Caenorhabditis elegans: one gene and its partners. The protein of the gene in region 1 purifies or fractionates together with the protein of each later gene. This does not show direct contact. Each region holds a gene or a part of one and is shown on either strand. Other genes may lie near its edges. The genes, in order: ndua-7, R04F11.2, F29B9.11 and atp-4.

The links.
Region 2: the proteins of ndua-7 (region 1) and R04F11.2 fractionate together in Caenorhabditis elegans (co-fractionation; one large-scale study listed by BioGRID). This does not show direct contact.
Region 3: the proteins of ndua-7 (region 1) and F29B9.11 fractionate together in Caenorhabditis elegans (co-fractionation; one large-scale study listed by BioGRID). This does not show direct contact.
Region 4: the proteins of ndua-7 (region 1) and atp-4 fractionate together in Caenorhabditis elegans (co-fractionation; one large-scale study listed by BioGRID). This does not show direct contact.

The regions. Positions count from the first base shown.
Region 1 is NC_003280.10:13,492,622-13,496,106, forward strand, and holds ndua-7 (NADH dehydrogenase [ubiquinone] 1 alpha subcomplex subunit 7), read right to left. Parts: upstream 1,980-3,485; 5' UTR 1,973-1,979; coding exon 1,900-1,972; intron 1,831-1,899; coding exon 1,641-1,830; intron 874-1,640; coding exon 630-873; 3' UTR 571-629; downstream 1-570. Other genes in the region: F45H10.2 (Cytochrome b-c1 complex subunit 8), read right to left, coding at 242-421; drr-1 (MARVEL domain-containing protein), read right to left, coding at 2,495-2,641, 2,688-2,894, 2,949-3,038, 3,091-3,171.
Region 2 is NC_003283.11:12,316,962-12,320,778, reverse strand, and holds R04F11.2 (ATP synthase F(0) complex subunit e, mitochondrial), read right to left. Parts: upstream 2,153-3,817; coding exon 2,038-2,152; intron 1,856-2,037; coding exon 1,716-1,855; intron 853-1,715; coding exon 784-852; 3' UTR 550-783; downstream 1-549. Other genes in the region: twk-13 (Potassium channel domain-containing protein), read left to right, coding at 1-45, 111-219; R04F11.5 (Mitochondrial import inner membrane translocase subunit Tim29), read left to right, coding at 2,760-2,898, 2,942-3,079, 3,125-3,405; R04F11.3 (DNA polymerase delta subunit 3), read left to right, coding at 3,599-3,699, 3,748-3,817.
Region 3 is NC_003282.8:4,659,072-4,661,983, reverse strand, and holds F29B9.11 (Cytochrome c oxidase polypeptide VIIc), read left to right. Parts: upstream 1-1,782; 5' UTR 1,783-1,783; coding exon 1,784-1,897; intron 1,898-2,135; coding exon 2,136-2,288; 3' UTR 2,289-2,353; downstream 2,354-2,912. Other genes in the region: jmjd-1.2 (JmjC domain-containing protein), read right to left, coding at 1-178, 343-627, 674-745, 793-975; mrps-21 (Mitochondrial Ribosomal Protein, Small), read left to right, coding at 2,467-2,618, 2,672-2,861.
Region 4 is NC_003283.11:6,425,712-6,428,770, reverse strand, and holds atp-4 (ATP synthase-coupling factor 6, mitochondrial), read left to right. Parts: upstream 1-1,658; 5' UTR 1,659-1,660; coding exon 1,661-1,903; intron 1,904-2,228; coding exon 2,229-2,375; 3' UTR 2,376-2,525; downstream 2,526-3,059. Other genes in the region: alh-4 (Aldehyde dehydrogenase), read left to right, coding at 48-364, 412-541, 587-725, 816-845; T05H4.11 (DUF4706 domain-containing protein), read left to right, coding at 2,928-3,023.

The DNA of each region.
Region 1 (3,485 bases):
ACTAGCAAAAACTTCAAATCCAGGTGGAAAAAACAAATTCCAACTTGTCCACGTGTAGTACAAAACCCCTCGTAAATCGACACTCATTAAACTGTGCCGCAGGCTTGCAAGACCGGTTTTTTTGTGTGAAACGGTGCTCAAATTCACAAAATTTCTGATTTTTTTCGCTAAAAATCACGAAATTCAGCTTAAAAATCATTGAAAACCGGAATTTTTTTTCTCTCCAATTTTCCAAGGCTACCTGTGGAATGTAGTAATACCACTGATCCCAGACGTAGGTCTTGAAGGTCTTAACAAAGGCCTGATCGAAGAATCCCTTGTAGGCCTTTTGCTCGTTTGGAGCAAGCGCGAAGCGGTGCTCTCCGTACATCTTGCCGAGATTTCCAAAGTGTTTGCCCATTGAAACGACGGTCGGTCTCATTGTTGTCTGGAAGTGGAAGTATTTGGAAAATTTAATTGATAAATTAGAATAATAAAAATGGTAAAATAACAAAGAAAATCGATATTTCAAGGCTACAAAAACCAGGAAAAAGGGAAAAAATGCAGGGAAACCCCTAAAAACCGCGAGAAAAAAGCTTCATTTCTGTCACATTCTGAACCACTAAAATTAATTTACAAAAAAAAAACGCTTAGGCGCTCTTCGTGAACTTGTCGAAACGCTGCAAATACTCGAATTCGGTGTTCTTCTGCTGGCTGGCCAGCTCATTCTGCTTGGATCGGCTCCATTCGGCTCCAAAACCAGGGGTTGGAGCTGTCAATCCGAAGTTTGTGGCGACTCCTTGATTCACTTGCGCTGGCTGTGCTTTTTCTCCTCCAACAAACTCGCCAGACGAGTAGAGCACTTTCGGAGCATCGACGTTTCGGCGGCCGTCTCTGCAAAAAAAATTTGATGATTTTTTGAGAGAATTTAAATTTTTAATGGACTACTCCCTGTGGGGAAATTGCTTTAAAACATGCCTATGGGGCCACAATGACCGAATATCATGATAAAAAAATTTTAAAAATTTTTCTGGATTTTATATGATTTTTTGAAAATTGAAAAAATCTCAGTTTTCCCCCCTAATTCCTATTTGAATTTCCGCCAATTGAACTCGTTCGTTGGAGCGCGCTTGCATTATTTTCGTTAATTTTTTAAAATTTATTTTCATTATTTCACTGATTTTCTTTATTTTTTGAAGGTTTTTAATCGGAAAATGAAAGAAATAAACAAGAAAAATGCAAAATTTTTATTAAGAAGTAACTGAAAATGGCTAAAACTCTGATTAATACTAATTTCAGGCTCGTCGTCGTCGGATCGCATAATAGGCATTTTCGGCTACTTTTTAATAAGGACTGTGAATTTTCTTGCTTATTTCTTTCATTTTCCGATTAAAACCCCAAAAAAATAGAGAAAATCAGTGAAATAATGAAAATAAATTTTAAAAAATTAACGAAAATAATGCAAGCGCGCTCCAACGAACGAGTTCAATTGGCGGAAATTCAAATAGAAATTAGGGGTGAAAACTGAGAATTTTTCAATTTTCAAAAAATCATATAAAATCTAGAAAAAACTTTTAAATTTTTTTATCATGATATTCGGTCATTGTGGTACCAAAGGCGTGATTTAAAGCAATTTCCCCACAGGGTGGAATTTTTTGAACCTTGTCAAGTAATAATTATCAGCGAGCTTGTGATGAACACCTCCTGGAAGAGCCGGGAGCTCTGCGGAGCAAGGACGAGCGGATTGGGTGTTTGGGAAGCGGAGAGGGTTCTGGTAGACTGCTTTTCCGTCCGGGCCGGCGATTCCTGGTGGCGGGGTGATGGGGAGTCGGTCGGAAGCCAACAGCTTTTCTGGAAATTTCTAAATTTTCATTAATTTGTTAATATTGGAGCGCAAAAAACGGAAAAAGAAAAACTTACGCTTAAGCCAGTTCCAGAATGGCGTCTGGGTGCGATTTTGAACAGTGGCCGCCGCAATTTTGCGACCGCTCATTGTCGGTCTGGAAAATTTATATTTTTATAAACAAATTGGGAAGCTTGGCTTAGAATAAATATATATTATAAACAAAACGAGCTTTTCTCGATTTTTCCAAGAAAAAAACTGGAGAAAACTAGCAATTTAGAAGAAAAAAAACCATTTTTCTTCAAAATAGCATTTCTCAGCCAAATTTTGCTCAAATCGATTCGGATCTGGATTTTCGACTTAAAATAACTCTAATAACAAGCTTAACTGATTTTTCAACAAAATTATCCATAAAAAATCACGGAAAATCGATAAAATCTGAAAAGAAAGCGATTAAAAAGTAAATAAATAAATGACCGGTCGTCAGTTGGTGCATTTGCGCGTCACGGTGTTTGCACACAATGCATCACATTTTACGGGCAATGTGCCTATGGTAATTAATTTATATAAATAAACATGATTTTATAGTTGAAAGTCGGGCTTTTTAGAGTCAATAAAAGAATAATTTATTGTGAAAATAAGCAAAAAAGAAAAATGAATAAATCTACAAAATCACAAGTCTTGATAAGCATTAGAACGGAATGGATGTGCTGGTTCGATCACAATATTCTGACGTTCGGTATCCGAAGTTGTCTGTACCTCACGATAGATTACAGTACATGGGACAGCGTAGAAAATTGTTTGTACGATGAAGAAAACCTGAAATTAACATATATATTGCCTAAAAATCCCCCTTAAAACCCACCCCAGCAGCAATATATCCCGCAGAAGTGCCGAAAAGCGACCGATTCGCGAACGAAAACGAAAGCCAGACGGAAATCACGGAGAGGACCGCCAAAATAAAGGAATACACGAGCTCCACGACATTCCACGCGATGCTTCCATTCGAAATACTCTCCATGAGCTCATCCTGAATCCGCAGGGCGAAGATTACCGTTGCCGCCGCGGAAATCTGGAAATTCAGGGGGTTGATGGGGGTAAAAATTTAATAAAAGGATAAACTAACAATTAATTGAACAATTAGAGTAAACCAAAGAATCCCATTATCCCCGGAAGCCGTCGATCCAATGCAAACCGCCAGAATTACAGCGTTAATCTGAAAAATTGAACATGGTGCATCGGGAAATTAAAAAAATCAATAAACATACCGCTTGCAATGGCTTAAAATAGTGTGGAAGTTTGAGAAAAACGTTATCCTCATTTTCGAATATGTTTCCAAGAGTTTGCATTTTTTTTTAAATTTTGTGTTGCAAAAAAAATTCAGCGAATTCGAAATTTTATCGATTAAAACTGTAATAATACGTGCACAGTGATTCTGTCTGTTGTTGTGCTCACACACGTATCTTATCAGTAAACATTATAGTTCACATGATTTGGGGGTTATTGTGTAGTTTGTAGTGTATTATTGGTGATAGAAATACGGTTCCCGGGGTCTCGACACGACAAATTTTTGTTAGATGCGAAAAGGTGTGTGCGTCTTTAAAAAGAGTACTGTAGTTTAAAACTTTTGTTGCTGCGGACTTTTTATTGAATTTTTTTAAAT
Region 2 (3,817 bases), on another chromosome or scaffold:
TCGAGTTTTGCAGAGTATGGAGAGTCTTGATTTGAATACTAGCAGGTTAGTACTGTTCTTTTTTACAATTTAGTATATTTTGAATCCATCCACAATCTCTCAACTTTCAGATGCTCCACCGCTCGAACATTGACACCTCGAGAATATTATCAGAAGATTCTTTTCCAGTACTGTAAACAACTTCAACCGGAAGAACCTATTGCTGACATCGACAATTAATATTACTGGTCATTTTATAGTTCTCTTAATCCATGGAGTCTTTCAACCTAACATCCAGTTTCTAGGATTATGTTTTTTTACTGTTTCCCATCATGCTTTCCCCAGTTTCCATAAAGCCTTGAACAACTTCCCACAAAATTATCGAACTTAGAATCGAAATTCTTCAGATTCCTCTTACATATCCTCGTTTTTCTTATCCTAAATTATTTATTTATTTTAGGTTTTTTACATTAAAAATAAAATTTCAACAGTTTTTTATCAACCCCGTCTTTTCAAATTGACCAACCCCTTGACTTCTTTCCAAATGTGATTTTTTCGATGACTTCGAGTCAGGCTCATCTTATGTATTCGATTTTTTCAAAAAAATAAAATTTGTAATTTACTGAAATTTGCAGCTACTTTAAACAAAACGAGAAACTTTAAAATTTAAAAGAAGAATACAATTAAACACACACTACCAAATATAGAAGAAATGTCTCTGTTTCGGAGAGGTATTCATTGAACTAATAAAAGAAAAAGGGATAATTCTCCTGGGTCTGATAGTGTGTCTTCGTGACCGTCGTCTTAATCCTCCTTGTAGAGATCGGCAACTCCGAATTGCTTGACTCCCTCTTCGAAAGGAATGTTGACAACCTGAAATGAAAACAGCGATAAAAGTTTTACTCTTCGCAAACATCGCTTTTTTAATATTGCATAAATTAATACATAACAAAAATAGCAACGCAATCTTAAAATAATTTCTGCCAACGTCGTCAAAGTGTTTCTATGCCAAAAAAATTGATCGTGTACCACATCGTTTTCAAGAATAAACTTTTTTCAGAAGCTGTGTTCAATAATTTCAACATTTTCCGACTAGTACTGCAAATAATTACATTTCTAAACTATCTCACTGGAGACATTATATCAACCTAATATTTTTAGGGTTTTAAAAATATTCTCTTGGTATTAATATTTTGTTGCTGTAAAAGATAACTTCCGACAGTGATGCATTTTCCATAATAAGAATTGAAAAACCACCGTAAAATTTCACAGCGAATTTTCAAAAATTTTGGTCGGGCAAAACTCAAATTTAAGATTCACAAAAATTATATTGAAAAAATTTGCATTGATTTCCAATAATCTGTTTTTACAAAAAAAAAAGCATTAGAGTTTTGTTTTTTAATAATGGAGAGCATGTGAGTCTAATCATTTCCAGAGACTAATTCGACAAAATAATAAGCATTAGTTTAAAGTGAAGCTACTAGAAGCCATATTTTCCGATAAATAAATTTTAAACATTTTAAGTTTCAAAAAATATCGCTCTATTTTCACAAAGCTTGTTTCTGAGTTTCCTGAACCAAATTTTTTTAGACATAAAATAGTAACGGTAACATCGCTAACAAAATTAGGGGATTTACCAGAAAAGAAAAAAAAATTCCGAGATAGTTTCAATCGTTTCTCCCAAAATTACATTCAGATAATTTTCATGTATTCATTTTTTGATAGAAATATCTTACCTGCATGAGGTATCTCATCTCGTCCTTGGCAAGCCACTTCTTCTTCTTGGCGGCTTCCTCTGCAGCGGCAACAGCCTTTTCGTGATCCCACTCACGAATATCGGCGTGGTACTCGCGAATCTGGCGAAGACGGAAAAATCCTGAAAATAATTTTTATCTTCTGAAGAAGGTTTACGGAAACTGTAATTATCTTGGAATACTGCTTTTTTTAATTGTAAAATTGTAGGAGGACAGTAGAACTCTTGAAAAAAGATAAATTCAATCTGTATTAACAGTCACTGTTTTCAAAAGTCACGTATGAAAAATGTTTGAAACGACTTACCATAGACAACTCCAAGGGAGAGCGCCGCATAACGTCCGAAACGGATAAGTGGGGAGATGGTGACCGTTGGTGGCTGGAGAACCACAGCGTTCGGATGTTTGAGTGGGGCCGACATCTGAAAAATGATAATAAGTGAAAAATATTCAAAAAGAATTAATAAATTTGTGAGAAAATATACAAAGCGAATGTAAAGAACTTCAAGTAAACCAAATAACGTTCCCCGTATGTGGGTAAGAGAAATTTATTGATCACGTTTTCGGGTTTGTAAGCTGGATAAACTTGTTTGAAAAAAATTATCAAAATCAACAGAAACTCACTAAAAACAGGAAAAATATTGATATTACCACAGCACCGCGCGAAAAGAAAGAAAATGCTACAGCTGAAACGAGTGTCACCGTACCCCCTCATCGAAGCGAGACCTGCGTTATTTCGGAGTGTCGTTTGGCAGTTAGATTTTTTTTTCAAAAAAAAATTATTTTGCGTTCAAAAATGTTTGCAAAAGTATTTTACATTGCATTTCTTCTTTTGACTACTTACTTATTCTGTCAAGAATCAAAAATCTCGAATATTGCCTTTATTTTTTCCGAGTTCTTCAAAAAGCCGTTTTACCTATTCGTTATGCTGTTAATTTGCATACGTTTGTCTTTTAAAAGTTATTTTAAACGTTTTCGTTTCGTTATCTTTTTTTATTCAGTTGTTTCGTTAACAATTATTCATTTCAGATGGCTGCTGCTTCAGTGAAAGGCTTTTTCCAGCGGACCGGAATCAGCATCAAAGAATATTTTAAACGAATGGGAAATGATTATGCTACTGTAGCTAGGGAAACTGTCCAAGGATGTAAAGATAGACCTGTTAAAGCTGGTATGACACCTCTCTACCTATCATTCTTATTGATCAATTTCAGGAGTTGTTTTCTCTGGGCTCGGTTTTTTAACCTATGCATATCAGACAAATCCAACAGAGCTGGAAATGTATGATTATTTATGCGAGAGACGACAAAAGTTAGTTTTGGTCCCGAATTCTGAGCATAATCCGGCTACAAGTATGTTCCACATTCTAAATGCTATGAAGTAATGGCTATTTTCAGCTAAAGAATTAACTGCTCGCGACTTTCTCATCAGCCAAAATCGATTGCATTATTACAATCTCTGGTTCTTTTCGCTCTTGGTTGCTAGCGATTACAACGATAAACTTAGAATATATTCTTCACAAGATTCAAATCTAAAAGATTGGCCATGGACAGAGTTGTGGAGGAACATTGTTGACATTGGAGCTCTCGGTAGATGGCATCGTATGGAAACAGCATTTGTTGATTATGATGTTAATACTGACGAGATTGATTTGCTGCCTGATGGCGACAAAAATTAGTGTTCATTTTTGTTTAGGGTTTTACTAGATCAAGTAGTTTTATGTGATACTGGTACTCTTGTTTTTTTTGTTTCAAAATAAAAATGTTTATTGTTCTCTCTGAAATATCGTTTTCTTTGAAACTTATTTGGTTCACAAACCTTCTAAATATTTGTTTTCCTCATTCGTTGAATATATTCATTTCATTTTGTAGATGGTGGAGAATTTCACCTCAATACTCGATGATGTGTGCGACCCTCTGACACTCACAAATTTCATAAAGCAGACATCACTACCAAGGTCAGAAGCCACAAGGTATGTATGATACTGTACACGTTTTTAAATGAATTTATCAATTTTCAGCATCCTTGAAGATTATGTGAAATCAAAAGGGGATCCGCTATGGGCACTTTATGAAATCAGTGGAGCTGTT
Region 3 (2,912 bases), on another chromosome or scaffold:
CTTCATGAGTAAATTTTCCGCATCCTCCACATCGATCCGATTCCTTTGGAGTTTTCTGCTCTGGGACATCATCTTCTTCACTGTCCGAGTCCACCTCAAGCTTCAATTCTTCTTGAACTTCTTTCTTTTTTGTTTTCATTTCGTCGAAATTCGAAATTGAAACGAAACGGAATGGAGGCTGGAATAAAATTTGATGATATTTATCAATTAATTTTTTTTCTTCATTTAAAAGTTCAGTATGATATTGCCACGGGAAATTTGAATTTTTTCAAAAATTTATAAATTTATAAATAAATTTTTTTTGAATGAAAATAATCTTCCACATTTCAGAATAAACCATACCTCAGATCCGTTGCTGACGTAGTTCTGATTTGACTCCATCTTCGGCGCTTCCGCTTCCATCTTGTTGCTCATTGCAGCCTGATTATCCGATGAATCTGTCACATGTGGCTCGATTTTAGGCTCGCTCTTCGGATTGTGCTGCTTTCTCCTCGGATCTTTTGGAGCGCCCATCTTGTTGTAAGCTCTCGCCTGGAAAATTACGTTGAGAAATGGAGGAAGTTCAGTGAAATCGGAGGTTACACTCACTTTCATGAGCACTGATTCTATCGCAAAATCAACCGAATTCTGAGATGAGACTTTTTTTAAAATTTTAAATGAATAAAACACTTACTCTATCCATTTCGGAAACCGATTCATGGGAATTGCCATTCAAATGATTTTGAGGAGCTGCGACGCTTGCTTCCTGTAATCAATATCATTGAATAATCGCAGAAAAATAAAAAATCGTACAGAAACTAATGGCGTTTGATGCTCAGTAGAGGAAAGAGCCGGTTGAGAGGCTGTGTATGACATTCCTGGCTCGCCGATTGCCGATTCGTGATTCTTATGGTCGGAATGCTGATCCATCATTAGAAGTGCTGATTGGTCTCGAGAAAACTCGTTTTTTTGTATATTTATATCATTACCATCCATTTGGAATGTGTAGATTCTGGAAAACAACGATTTTTAACGGAAAACTCGAAAACTTCAACGAATAGTCGATTGAAAGGGAAACAACGGACAAAATAACATGAAAATAGCTTCGAAATGTTTAAATTTATTTCTGTTACAACATTTTTCAATAAAAAACTCCAGAAAAATGATGGAAAACTGAAATATATGCTGAAAAAACTGTAAGCCTCGAGGAGATGTGAAGAAGAAGAGAAACGAGACGCAGCATGCGAAACAAGAGACACTGCGAAACGGGGGAACGTGAGTCGCGATGAAATTTACGAGTTTGTGGGATTAAATACTAATTAGTAGATAAACTTTAAGATGAAAATATCAATATTGATTAGTTGAATTGATTGCAATTCTGAATACAAAAAATTTTTAACGAGAAAATCAATTTCTGCCTGTCCACTTCCGGGTTTTGGTGTCTCGCATTCACCGTTCACTCGCTTCGCAGTGTCTCCGTCTTTCTCACCTTCCGTATTCTCACACTTGGCACGTAGCCAAGCGGCTGGTCTCGCAACGATTGTTTTTGTTTTCCGTCAGCCGTCTCTGCGCCTTTAACCTCTCACAGCCTGCCGATTATTTTTTAAGCAGATTTTTACTATTTTTCAGCTTTCAAGCTTCATCCATTAGCAAAATCAAATAATTTTTTGATTCATTGTGTAGAATTAACGATTTTCGTATAGTTTCTGTTTTTATAACCGCCTGAATCGTATTCTCTGTTTCGTTTTCTATGGATTATCATGCTTGCTCAATTACTCTGTAAATTTAAACGATTTATTGCAGGATGCTGAACCGTGCTGTGCTCTCCTTGGCTAGAAGCCAACATGTCATCCGTCGCTCGCTTCACAAGGGAGTTGACTCGACCCCACCACTCCGTTTCACCTCTGTCAGCGAGAAGGTAATTTTTTATTTGCTAAATGTCTTGAACTTATCCTTGTGAGCAGTAAAACTTAAAATACCACTAGCTCACCAAAAAAAACTAAATTTCAGTTTGTACATTCGTTTGAATGGATTTGAAAAATTAATTTCTGAACTAAAAGATACAGTTTTGAAATTTGTCTCACTTTTAATTTAGCTGCTCAAAAACATATTTATCCAGATATCCATATTATTCACTATAACACCAATTTTTTCAGGTTGCCCTTTACGGACTCATCTGCGTCGCTTTCATGGCATACCCAACTTCCGTCCTCTTCAGACTTGATAGTCTTCGCCCAAGACCGGATAATGCTCTCTCCCCAGAAGTCCAAGAAGAGATTGACGCCCGTGTTGCCGCCCGCAGACAGTAGAAGTAATATTATGCCACGAGCCATTGTGTAGACTTTTGAGAACAACAATAAATCGATTCTTGTTTTCTCTTCGCTTTTTCTCAATTTTATTCGCTGTCAAATGTGGTTTATCCATCCATGAAAGATAAATGTTCGATTCGGTTTTTCATTTAGAATTTTTTTGATAATTGTTTTAAAGATGGTACGTCAATTCACCTGGAGAGGAACGATTTCTCAGCCGTTCGCGATTAAACTTTTCAAAGGAATTTGGAATTCACATCCAAGATTCGCAACTCGAACAGTAATGGTGCAGAACAATGATGTCGATGGAGCTTTCGGACTTCTTAACAGGTTTTCTTTGGAAAAATTCCCAGAACATAATTTCAAGATTGAAATAATTTCAGATTGATGGATTCAGAAGGAATGCTGAAAATCATTCGCCGCACTCAATTCTATCAGAAGCCCTACATGCAACGAAAAACACTGTCGATGGAAGCATCAACGGCGATTTTCAACGAGGACATGAACCGGAAAATGAAATTTCTCGTTCGAAAAAATCGTCCCGACAAGCATCCCGGACAAGTGACGTCCTAATTTCGATCTCAGAAAATAGTTGTTTTGAGTTTTTTGTTTTGTTTTGTTTTA
Region 4 (3,059 bases), on another chromosome or scaffold:
TAACTATTTACAATATTTATATAATTTAATCTGAACTCTTCTTCCAGTCGCATCTCTGGGCTTCTCGATAAAACTCAAGGAGCTGTTCTTATCGGTGGAGAACGTGATCGTGCAGATCTCTACATCCCTCCAACTGTCCTTGACGTTGAGAAATCTGATCCATTCATGCATGATGAGATTTTTGGTCCAGTCCTGCCCATCATCACTGTCCAGTCTTTCTCGGAGTCGCTTGAGTACATTGCTGATGGAGAGAAGCCTCTGGCTGCTTACATTTTCACAAGAAATGAAGCTAAAGTTAAACGCCTTTTGAATGAGACTAGCAGTGGTGGTGTGACTGTTAACGATGTGTTGATGCACATTACTGGTATGCTATTTTAATTTTAAAATATCTGAATAATTTTTGAATTACAGTTGATACTCTCCCGTTCGGAGGAGTAGGTGTCTCTGGAATGGGACGTTACCGTGGAAAGTATGGATTTGACACATTCACCCATGAAAAGTCTGTGCTTCACAGAGGATTCTTCGGAGAATCTCTTTTAGCGTACGTTTTTTCCGAACCTTCGATACCTAATCGCATTAATTTCAGAGCTCGTTACCCGCCACTAAGCCAACAAAAGCTCGATCAAATGCGACGCCTCACGGGAAAACGAATCTCTCTGAATCTGATGAATGTTGCGACTCTTCCTATCGTAATGGCCTCATTCGTTTTTGGAATGCTCTTCCAGGTATGCAGAGGAAAATCAGCTCAATAGATTCTCACACAGTCAGCACCTGCTTCACTAGATTAATTCACAAATCGCAGTACAATTTTTCAGAAATGTTCTAGAAATGTACAGGATGATTAATTACTGCGAAAATACGTGATATTTAGCTTATCATATTCACATATTTTTGTTGCTTTCCAATTTGCCTCACTAACTTATGTCCAAACATCTAACAATAAACTATTCAAATCAGTTATTGTACGGATATTTCCCGTTTGTAACCTCCAAAGGCTCCTTATGTTTCGAAGGTCCTTCACATCCTTTGTTTTTATGCTTCAGCTAACTAGTACCAATTCGATAACAAATAAATACAGAAAAAATAATACTAGTTTCAGTTCATTTTCCGCTTCTCGGCATAAAATCGAGACATGCTGGTGGAGGTGGCAAACGCGAAATGGCGTACAGTAGGCTCGGTGTTTGCGGACTAGTCGTGCGGTCAATGTTCACTCTTACGTACTTTCACACCACTATTCTTCTTCCGTCTCGCCCTATTTTTTAACTTCTTTTTTTTTTCACAAATTCCTAGTCAATTTTTTCACCGGATCTTCTAATCATTCCATAAACTCTAGTCCATAACCAATTCCCGCATGAAAAGTGTCCCCAAATATTAAAAATTCGTGTAGTTTCAATTTAAAGCAATAATTTTATTAATTTTCATTCCCGATATTTTCAGAAATATGCTCGCAATCTTCATTGATCCGCCAAACGTTCATTTTCATTTTTTTTTTAAATTTTCCTCCCCTCTCTTGAGTATGTTTATTTTTGTAAATATTTTAATAAATCATTGTTTTGTGGAATTTTGCGCTTTGTTTGATTTTCCTGGTTTCCGGTGCCTTTTCTTCGATACTTATAAACATCCTTTGAACAGAAAACAATTTCTAAATTTATATTCAGGTATGTTCCGCGCAGTCCAATCAGTCCGTTCTCTTTCGACCACCGCGGCTTGCCGCCAGGACTTGATCCAGCAGACTTTCGTCACCAAGATCCGCGAAATCGCCAAGAACGCCGGTAACCTGGCTAACTCTGATCCAGCCGTTAAGAAGGCTCTCCAGGAAGAGCTCAACAGATTGGCCACCAAGTTCCAGCTCGCCAACGCCGATGTTGTTTCGAAGCTCCCAACTAACTTTGAAGCTGCTAAGGTAATATAAATGAAGACAAACAAACAAAGATTTATTTAAAAAATAAAATTAGCTAAAAAAAATTTCAGTTACAAAAGTATCGCTCGATTGAACAATTTTTAAATGAATTATCGAAGTAAATTAAAGAAACATCCTTATTTTTGTCGATTAATAACCAAAATAGTTTCAAATAATTTTTAAAAAATCAGCTTTTGTTTTTGTAAATATATTTGATAATCTGAGAACCAGAAGTAACCCGATTAATGTATATCTTATAAATTTTAGATTATTAATAGGCTGTTCCAAGTGCTGAGTTAAAAAAAAACATTAAAATGCTCGTTTCCAGGTTGACTCTGCAGTTCAATCCGCTCTTGAAGGACAAACATTGGCTTCGCTTCTTGAAGGAGTCAAGAAGGACCACTCTGAATATGTTGCCTCCCGTGATGCCAAGAAAGCCGAACAAGCCGCCCGTAATGCTGCCCTCAAGCAATAAATTTAAGCTCTCGATTTTGAATGGTGTATTGTTTCTTTTTGTAATAGATCGTCTATAGACCGAATGAACGTTTTTGTTCCTTAATTTTTGAAATTTCTCTCTGTTCTTTTGTAAACTTTGTTGTTTTAGTCACGAAGCTTATTTTTATTATTCTCATTCAAAATTTTTCGATAAAGTGGCTTGTTATCAGCCATTTTAAACTCGTTCAATCAAATCATGGGTTGTACAGTTGTTCTACGAGCAAACATATTCAAACTCTTCCCCAACCCGTGAATACTCTTTTGAACGGCACCCCATTGCCGATTTGGGGTGCACCATTAGGCAGACCTGTCTGTCCGCAAGCCTCCTACGTCATCACACAGACACTAACCCAGCACCATTGCGCAGACGCGACAGACGACCTTTTATTTGCTACTCATATACCACACGATTTCAAATTGCAGGTTTTCGTTCCGCCGAAATGGATTCAAAACTCTAGTCATTTCAAAATTAATAAAAGGTTTGTGTTTTTTTCTCTCACGCATTTTTAAAATTCCATTTCCAATATTTAAGATGGTCGAATTTTCAAAGGAGTCATCGACCAGAGTCTCTGTAAACTCACAACGACAAATATCGCATGTCCAGAAACGAGAGCTCACGAAGCGAAAGGTTCGTTACTGATGTAACAGATAAGATGGGAAGTAG